Cricetulus griseus: one gene and its partner. The protein of the gene in region 1 purifies or fractionates together with the protein of each later gene. This does not show direct contact. Links are inferred from orthologs where the notes say so. Each region holds a gene or a part of one and is shown in the gene's direction. Other genes may lie near its edges. The genes, in order: Stx4 and Napa.

Region 1 (4,450 bases):
AATTGAACAGGGAGGCAGCAGTTAATAGGCAAAGATACCCTTGCAGAATTCATGTTTTGGTTTGTTTTGGGGGGTTCCCCAGGGGCATGGACAAACTGAAGACTTCCATTTGGGGGCTGACAGCATCATGACACCTTGAAAGTCAGGCCCCACAGTAGGCACTTTTCTCCACATTATTTTCAGGGGACCACACTAGGCAGAGCTGGGCCTCCTGAGAAGCCCACCAACACCGCATCCCTCTGCGGGGTGGTCAGGGCCATATTATCCTCACCCCCTCATTTCCAAATCCAGGAGTTTCTAAAGGGAAAAGCATCACAGCCCCACAAGTGCATGGGGTTTTAGTCTGTTGGCTTCTGATGTGTCACCAGCCCCTAAAACATATCTGCTCTATAGTATGTGCCCAATAAATATGTCCAGAGAGACAAACCTGGGGAAATGGGACGGTGAGAGAAGCCACAGGCTTTAGTTTCAGATACATGAAAGGCTCCTATTCGGATCAAGGCTGTGAGGGCCTATTATGTAGCAAGCTCTGAATTTGGTGCTGGGGACTCCGTAAAAGAAAAGCAAGTCATGCTAGGACTTCAGGGCTGCGGAGGTAACAATACATTCCTCTCAGTCTGAGCTGCTCTGAAATCTGAAGGTGGCGAGCTCAGCGGGACTGCAGTGCTCACACAGGGCGTAGGCCGCCCACCTGTCAGAGGCTGTGCCAGGAGGACGCAGGGTGTGTAGGGGGAAGAGTTCCACCTTGGCTGAGGTCACTTCCCACCCCCAGATTGTCTGCCTACAAAACCCTGCAATCCTCTGACGCTGTAGCCTCCGATCTCATTATGTTCTGACTCTCAAGGTCTCGTGATACTGACAGCCCCCAAATTTAAGTCTTCAGATCGCCCACGCCCTAGGGCCCCAAATTAAAACAGAAAGTGAAGTCTACAAGGGTCTCCTCTGTAGGTGGCTGAGAGCTGTCGGTGTACCCCTCCCCACCTTCTGCAAGGGGTACAGCTCAGACTCAGGGGTATCGGGGACGTCGCGAGACTGAAGTCCGAGACGTCGCTGACAGCGCCGGGACACGTGACCGGCTGTCGGGCGTGCAGCCGGCGGAGCGGGGCCAGGTCTGTCACGTGATGAGGGGGCGCCATGGGGTGATGTGAGATACGAGGCTCTCAGACTGCGTGCAAATGACGCATCCCCAACCCTTTGGGCAACTAGATTCCAGTCCCAATATGAGATGTTCCGGTAGAAAGGGGGGGGGGGCGGACGGGCTCTCGATCCAGGCGGCCTCGCTTCCGTTCGGCCGCGACTGCTTCCGACCTCCGCCTTTTCCCCCTAGCGAGGAAGAGACAAGACCTCGTGCGCATGCTCCGAGTCATCCTCCCGAGGGGCGGGGCTGCGGCTGCGGGAGCAGGATGGGGGGAAGAGAAGGGAATTCCAACCTGTAGAACTTTGGGGGTCCTATGGTCGGGTTCTCCCCGGCGACTGTGCATGGTGAAAGGGGCGGGACCTCTGGGGGCTCGTGGGGGCGTTGGGGGTTCGCAGGGTGAGGAAGGGGGTGTCAAGTGAGAGAGAGCTCGTGCAGGACTTCCAAACTTAGAACCTTGAGGCCCTCGGGGCTCAGGTCCAGGGACCGGGCGCTCGGGCCGCCATGCGCGACAGGACCCATGAGCTGAGGCAGGTGAGGAGCTGGGGCCCGGCGGGCGCGCAGGACTGAGGACTCCTGGTTTGGGGTCCGGGAGGGGTGGCTGACGGCCAGGAAGGAAAATCCCGGAAGCCCATAGCTCCTGCGGGGCGAGAACCGCGGCGAGCGAGTGGTGCCAATGACTCCGGCCCTGGCAGGGGGACAACAGCTCGGACGACGAAGATGAGGCTCGAGTCGCGCTGGTGGTGCACCCAGGTACCGCCCGGCTGGGCAGCCCAGATGACGAGTTCTTCCAGAAGGTAAGGCCCGGAGGACCGAGCAGTAGGGAGGACTACAGTACCACTTATGTCTTCAGTTCCCTTGGTGATCCTCTCTAGGTCCAGGCAATTCGGCAAACTATGGCCAAACTGGAGAGTAAAGTCCGGGAGTTGGAGAAACAGCAGGTCACCATTCTGGCCACGCCCCTTCCCGAGGAGAGTAAGCGAAACCCGGGTTCACGTACGCCAGCCCGGTGGATTATGGGGGATGTAGTCCTATATAGATGTTGGCCGGGGGTGGGGTTGGTTTTGGTTTGTGGTGGAGGCTGTGGTTTGGAAGTGTTGGCCTTCTCTCATTTAGGCATGAAGCAGGGCCTGCAGAACCTGCGCGAGGAGATCAAACAGCTGGGGAGAGAGGTCCGGGCACAGCTAAAAGGTGAATGAACTTCAAGGGCCTCAGCCAGATCATCCCCAGTGATTCAGCCCTGATGCTCGTGTATCTGGGGAGTCAAGTGATATATCAGGTCACAGAGCAGGTCTGGGTCTAGGATCTCTGCCCTGTGGCATCTAAGCCTTGGTACTTTGCATATATTACATGCTGGCCTCTCAGATTCCTTTATTACTATTTTTACATCTAAATTCAAAACTACTTGCTGCTACAGTTCTTGAAGCCCAGTGTGTGTTCTTTGAGCAGATGGATGAGGGTTTCTTAGGAGGCTCCTTCACTCTTGTGGGAACCCACTGATGTAATACAAAGAAAAACTTCTCTTAGAAGATCAGAATTAGCCTCCTCCTCCCCCTCCCTCACCTCTTCCTCCTATGTAGACCAGGCTGGCCTCAAATTCACAGAGATCCATCTTTCCCTGCCTTTTGAATGCTGAGATTAAAGGCCTGCCGTAACCAGGTCCAGTTGGCTGATCTCACCCCCTTCTTCCTTCTTTCTTCTTCCTCCTAGTTCCTTCTTTTTTCCTCCTCCTCCCCCTTCCTCCTCCATCATGTGTCACTACTAAAATATATCCCTGCTCATAAGTCACTTTGTAAAAAAAAATCCTACGAAGACAAGAACTTCCTTATTATGTGGCTGGAATGTAGATGTGGCCCTGTATTCTGGTACCCAAACAATTTTTTTTGATTCATTTAAAATTTTTTATTATGTATTTTCAATTTTTTAATTATTTTTTGAGACTCAGTAGGTAGATCAGGCTAGCCCAGACAGAAATCAGTTAGCCTCCCAGCCAATTTTTAGAAGTCTCAGGGCAAGCTTTTCTTTCCATCAACCCTCGTATTTCTCCCACAGCCATAGAGCCTCAGAAGGAAGAAGCTGATGAGAATTATAACTCAGTCAACACAAGAATGAAAAAAACCCAGGTTGGTTTCATTTTCCTAGAACTAGGACATTTCATCAAGTGTTTCTTAGATTACTAACTGGTGACTGGGCAACCCTTACAGACCGTTGAATCTGGGATCTCTGTCCTGATGAATTTCCTTTATGCTTATTTGGTCTAGGTAGAGGATCCCAGTCACAAAATTCTCAATCCATTATAACACCATGCCACCGCCATTCAAAGAGAATTTGCTATGTCAGACATGACTCTGTCCTGGCTATGAGAGACATATTTTCCCAAAACTGAAATGGGGAATTTGGACTGAAAAGGGAACAAAGATATTTCTCATGTAGGACTTGGTCACTAATAGCTTTGTTCAGGGAAGAAGAGAGAGAAATAAAAAATGGTAATTAAGAGCACTGGTTGCTCTTCCAGAGGCCCCAGATTTAATTTCCAGCACCCACATGGCAGCTCACAACCATCTGTAACTCCAGTTCCAGGGGATCTAACACTCTCACATAGACATACATGTAGGTAAAACACCAATGCACATAAATCAAAGAATAATAATAAGAGCCAAGTGTGAAGGCAGAGGCAGGCGGATCTCTGAGTTCGAGGCCAGCCTGATCTACAGAGAAACCCTGTCTTGAATAACCAAAAATAAATAAATAAATGATAAATAAATGTAAGTTAAAATGACAAGCAAGGACATCCTTGGCCCCATAGATAGAATTTAAGAGATGGCGAGGGGCTGCAAGACGGATCAGTGGGTAAAGGTGTCTGCTTCTAAGCTTTATAACCCAATTCAGCCCCAGGTCCATGGGGTGCAGAGAACTGACTCCTGGGAGTTGTCCTCTGATTTCTACACATGTGCCATGGCACACATGCCCTGCCCCGTGCATACACAGTAAAGACATATATTAACGTATGATGTAGGGACTGGAGAGATGGCTTAGCACACACCACTTTTGCAGAGGAACTGAATTCAGCTGTTCCCAGCTGTGACCTATGTCAGGTGGCTCACAACCATCTGTAACTCCAGCTCTAGGAAGAGGCCCTCCACCTCCTTGGATACCACAGATGAAGGCACATAATAAAATATATTTTTAAGAACATTTGTAGCCGGGCGTTGGTGGCGCACGCCTTTAATCCCAGCACTCGGGAGGCATAGGCAGGCGGATCTCTGTGAGTTCCAGGCCAGCCTGGTCTCCAGAGTGAGTGCCAGGATAGGCTCC
Region 2 (3,805 bases), on another chromosome or scaffold:
AATCATCAGATAACTGTGGAGCAAAGCCTTTGCAGGCTTTGTGTGTCCTGCTGTGCTCAGGAGAGTGGACAGGTGGGACCTCCCATAGCTTGGAGGCTCCCACTCAGCTGGGACTGGAGGAGCATGCAAAGTAGTGCCTTAGCTGAGGTGGTATTGGAGCACCACCCACAGCAGGGAAAACCCTGCTGCCTCCCCTTAGCCAGTCTAGGGGAGGTCTGAGCAAAATGGTGTGGAGCCCATGGCTGCCTCGGGCATTAGCACTGTCTGCGCGGACTCTGGCTCTTGCTGTCCTCGTCCTGTTTCCCTTTCTAGCAAGGACTCAGACATAGCAGGGGTGCACCTGAGAGCTTTGGGGAGTTGTGGAGGACAGAAATGGGCTAGGAAAGGGAGCAAGTGGGAAGTGTCACATGGGTTGATCTCACCTGTGCCTTCCCAGAGCACATCCCTTCCCCCCCCCCCAATCGCCCCATCCCCACCTTTAGTTCAGGTTCTGGGCTTCCCTGTTCAAAGAGCCCAAGAGCCTGGGTGTCATGTCTCATGTATTTGCAGCCCTCAGCTCTCTGTCTGTCTTTCCTTCCTCTCTGTGGAAGTGGTGGCTCTGGAGGTGCCGGCAGAGGGGGGGGGGACATGGGTTTGGCACTGTGTTTACCTGGCTGTTTCTGTGCCCCTGGGCTCAGGCTTCCCCCGAGGCTGCTTCCTGACGTCCTCACTCTACCAGGTGCATACCACCAGGAAGCTCTGTGAGGGGTTCAGGCTGCTTTTGGGCTGGAGTGGGCTGATCTTGGCCTCTACCTGTATTCTAATTGTGAGCCTAATGTGCCTCTCTGGGCAGTGACTGCAACTGCATTGAAGCTGGGACGATCTGTTCTATTCCAGCTGCCGGGAACGCTTTCTGCCAGGCTGCCCAGCTGCACCTACAGCTCCAGAGCAAGCATGATGCAGCTACCTGCTTCGTGGACGCAGGCAACGCTTTCAAGAAAGCCGACCCACAAGGTAACCTCTGTGAGCCACAGCTGGCAGAGCAGCTGAGCACTGTCCCCACATCCTTGGGTCTATACAGAGCTGGGTTTTTCCAGTAGTTGACACATGATAGGCCAGGAGCAAAACAAGCCCCAAATTCAGAATTGGCTGGTCCTTGGCTGACATTGGCATCCTGCCCTCTCTCCCCACCCCCCACCCCCACCCTGGTGTGCAGCCCTCACCCCCTCCTGGGCTTCGAGCATTTGGTAGTGGGAGTTCCATCTCAGGCCCACTCCTTGCCAGGGAGCCAGGCAAAGCTGTTCAGTTGTCAGAATTAGCATGCAGAAGGAAGCAGGGAGCAGGGAGGGGGGCAGTCCCAGATGAACCAGGTAGAGCGGAAGTCAGCCTGACCTGCCTTCCCAGCACACCAGAAGGAAGCAGAGAGAGCAAGCCTGGAGTGAGCTGCCAGAGCCCAGTTCCTTAAAGCAGAGCCTATGACATAGGAGCCTGGTTAGGCCAAAGCACAGCCCATGGACCTCAGACTTGAGATTTCCAGGCTGAGGAATTTGCTTTTGGTATTTTTGTTCACTTATTTTTGTGGTGCTGGGAATGGAGCCTGGACCTCTGTGTGCTGCAAATGTGTTGTACATGTCCCCAGTTCTTTTTGGTTCTTTTTGAAAATGGTTCTTTTTGAAAATCTTAGAGCTACATAGATGACTAACTTTAAATTTCAGCACGCACAGGTATTTGTTTGTTTGTTTGTTTGTTTGTTTAATTGGCCATCTAAGCTAGTCATGGCAGTGCCTGCCTGTCGTCCCAGAGTTTGGGAAGTAGGGACAGGAAGATCAGACACTCAGCTATCCTTAGCTCTTGGCTACATAGTGAGTTTGAGGCCAGCCTGGGTTACATGAGACTGTGTCTCATAAATAAATCTTTAAAGTATCCAGGCTGTTTCTCTCAGGAGAGTGGGAAAGAAGTGACTGTTCTTTCCCAAAGGAGAGGCTTGGGGTCTGGGTGAAAGCCCACCTCTGAGGAGAAGAGAAGACAAGCACCTCGGTCCTCCCCAGCATCAGTGGATGTCAGCCGTCATTGTCACAGGACCACTCCCAATTAGAGAGATGACTGTGGTGACTCTGTCCCTGGGCTGACTGGTCACTCCTGTTTGTTTAGCTATGATGTGTGGCTCAGGCCTGACAAACAGAGAGGGACGGATGGCCTTTCAGCCAGGACTTAGATACACCCAGTGACTCAGGGCAGTCCTCTCCCCCACAGAGCCGTCCCCACACTTTCCCTTCTGCTCCCTGGGGAACTGGTTGGCCTGGAGATGCTGCCTGGCATCTGTGCCCTTCAGCTGCTGCTCCAGCCGGAATGGCCGGGAGGACTTGTTCCTAGGTGGCAGTGGATGCCAACCTGCAGGATGCCATAGCTGCCCCTCCCAGCTTGTGGTCATGTCCTTTTTCTCTCGGGACCCAGGCATGGGCCCCGGCCTCAGCAAGTCCAAGCTGATGGGAAAGTATTGAGGGTGCTGCAGCCAAGGGTGTGAGTGAAGGTAGAGAGGGGCCGACTTGCCTCACGGGGAAAGCACAGTTGTGAGGGGAGCGCTTCTGGTGTTAAGGGCTAGGGACTCAGCCACGTGGCATCCAGCGCTGCTGCCTTGCTGCCCTGCCCAGTCACAGTTCCACATATGAGGGGAAGGGGGTGCATTTGCACGGTTGACAGCTCTTCTGCGGGGCCAGTCAGGGCTCACAGAGAAGAGTGACCAAGCAGGGGAGGACATGCCCAGGTGGTCTGAGCAGATCACTCCCCCTCCTCCAAGGAACCCAGTGGGGACTTGTGCTGCCCCACTACACTTCAGCCTAGCCGTCACTCTGCTGTGTTCTCTCTTCAGTGATAGCACACACCTACTGTGAGCTGTACACAGCAATTCATTCCTGGCATCCAGAAGGGGGCAGCCCCTGGCACCAGAGCCTCCCTGCATGGCTGGGTGCCCTGGGAAACAACTGGATGACCAGTGGAGGCTTGAACCCCCAGTTTCTTCAGGAAGGACCTCCCTTAGCTAGCTGTGAGATCCCCTGCCCTGGGGTCTGGTCCATCAGCTCTTTAGGAATCTCGCCTGAGCTGCTTGCCTGAGGCCTGGGAATGTGACCCTTTTAGAGCAGGAGCTCTAAATGAGCTGTGAATGTGCACGGGCAGGGAAGCAGTCTGGCTTCCTATCTACCTATCCCCACCGCCTCATTGGAGCTCGTGGTTTGTCCCTAGTTTGTTGTGGACGGTGCTTGCTTAGATCTGCATGTGATCAGGGGCTTCAGGGTGATGCGGAGGTGAGCCGGGCTCTGTAACTCCCTACCTGCTCTGGACAGGCTGAGCACAAGAGGGTGGGAATAGACCAAGGGCCCTACTATTTACCTTCAAGGTTTCACTGAGGCCTGTGGCATCAGATAAGCCCTGTGGTAAGAGCAGGCCCGGGTGTCAGCTGGCAGCCTACTACTTTCCAAGCTGTTCCCAGAGCAAGGGGCCAGCATAAGAGGACTAGGCCCTGTGAATCCATGTTTCTCCCCCACTGCCGTGGCAGGGACTGTCCCACCAATAGAGCCTATGCCAACAGACCTTGGCTACCGAAGTCTCCTCAAGAAGTAGCCTTAGCATCCTCATCCCAAGAGAGTCCAGTCCACTCTCAGCCCGGGGGCAGTCCTGGAGCCTTCCCAGCACAAGCCCTCTGGCCCACCTGGACCCTCAACCCCGTGCCTCCCCCAACCCCCATCCTGAGATACATTAAAGTAGTTAAAAGATACTGAGAGCTCGTTTCCATCTGCTAGAAAATGCCTCCCACTCACGCCTCTCTCCT

Evidence for each region.
Region 2: the proteins of Stx4 (region 1) and Napa purify together in Homo sapiens (affinity purification with mass spectrometry; 4 studies listed by BioGRID and IntAct, with this or other methods). This does not show direct contact. The link is inferred for Cricetulus griseus from reciprocal best matches to the Homo sapiens genes STX4 and NAPA.

What each region holds. Positions count from the first base shown.
Region 1 is NC_048596.1:72,932,529-72,936,978, reverse strand, and holds the start of Stx4 (syntaxin-4), read left to right. Parts: upstream 1-1,508; 5' UTR 1,509-1,639; coding exon 1,640-1,669; intron 1,670-1,830; coding exon 1,831-1,932; intron 1,933-1,988; exon of another isoform or gene 1,989-2,010; coding exon 2,011-2,110; intron 2,111-2,251; coding exon 2,252-2,326; intron 2,327-3,187; coding exon 3,188-3,258; intron 3,259-4,450. UniProt on the Homo sapiens protein: Plasma membrane t-SNARE that mediates docking of transport vesicles. Necessary for the translocation of SLC2A4 from intracellular vesicles to the plasma membrane.
Region 2 is NC_048602.1:10,772,203-10,776,007, forward strand, and holds part of Napa (alpha-soluble NSF attachment protein), read left to right. Parts: intron 1-876; coding exon 877-993; intron 994-3,805. UniProt on the Homo sapiens protein: Required for vesicular transport between the endoplasmic reticulum and the Golgi apparatus. Together with GNA12 promotes CDH5 localization to plasma membrane.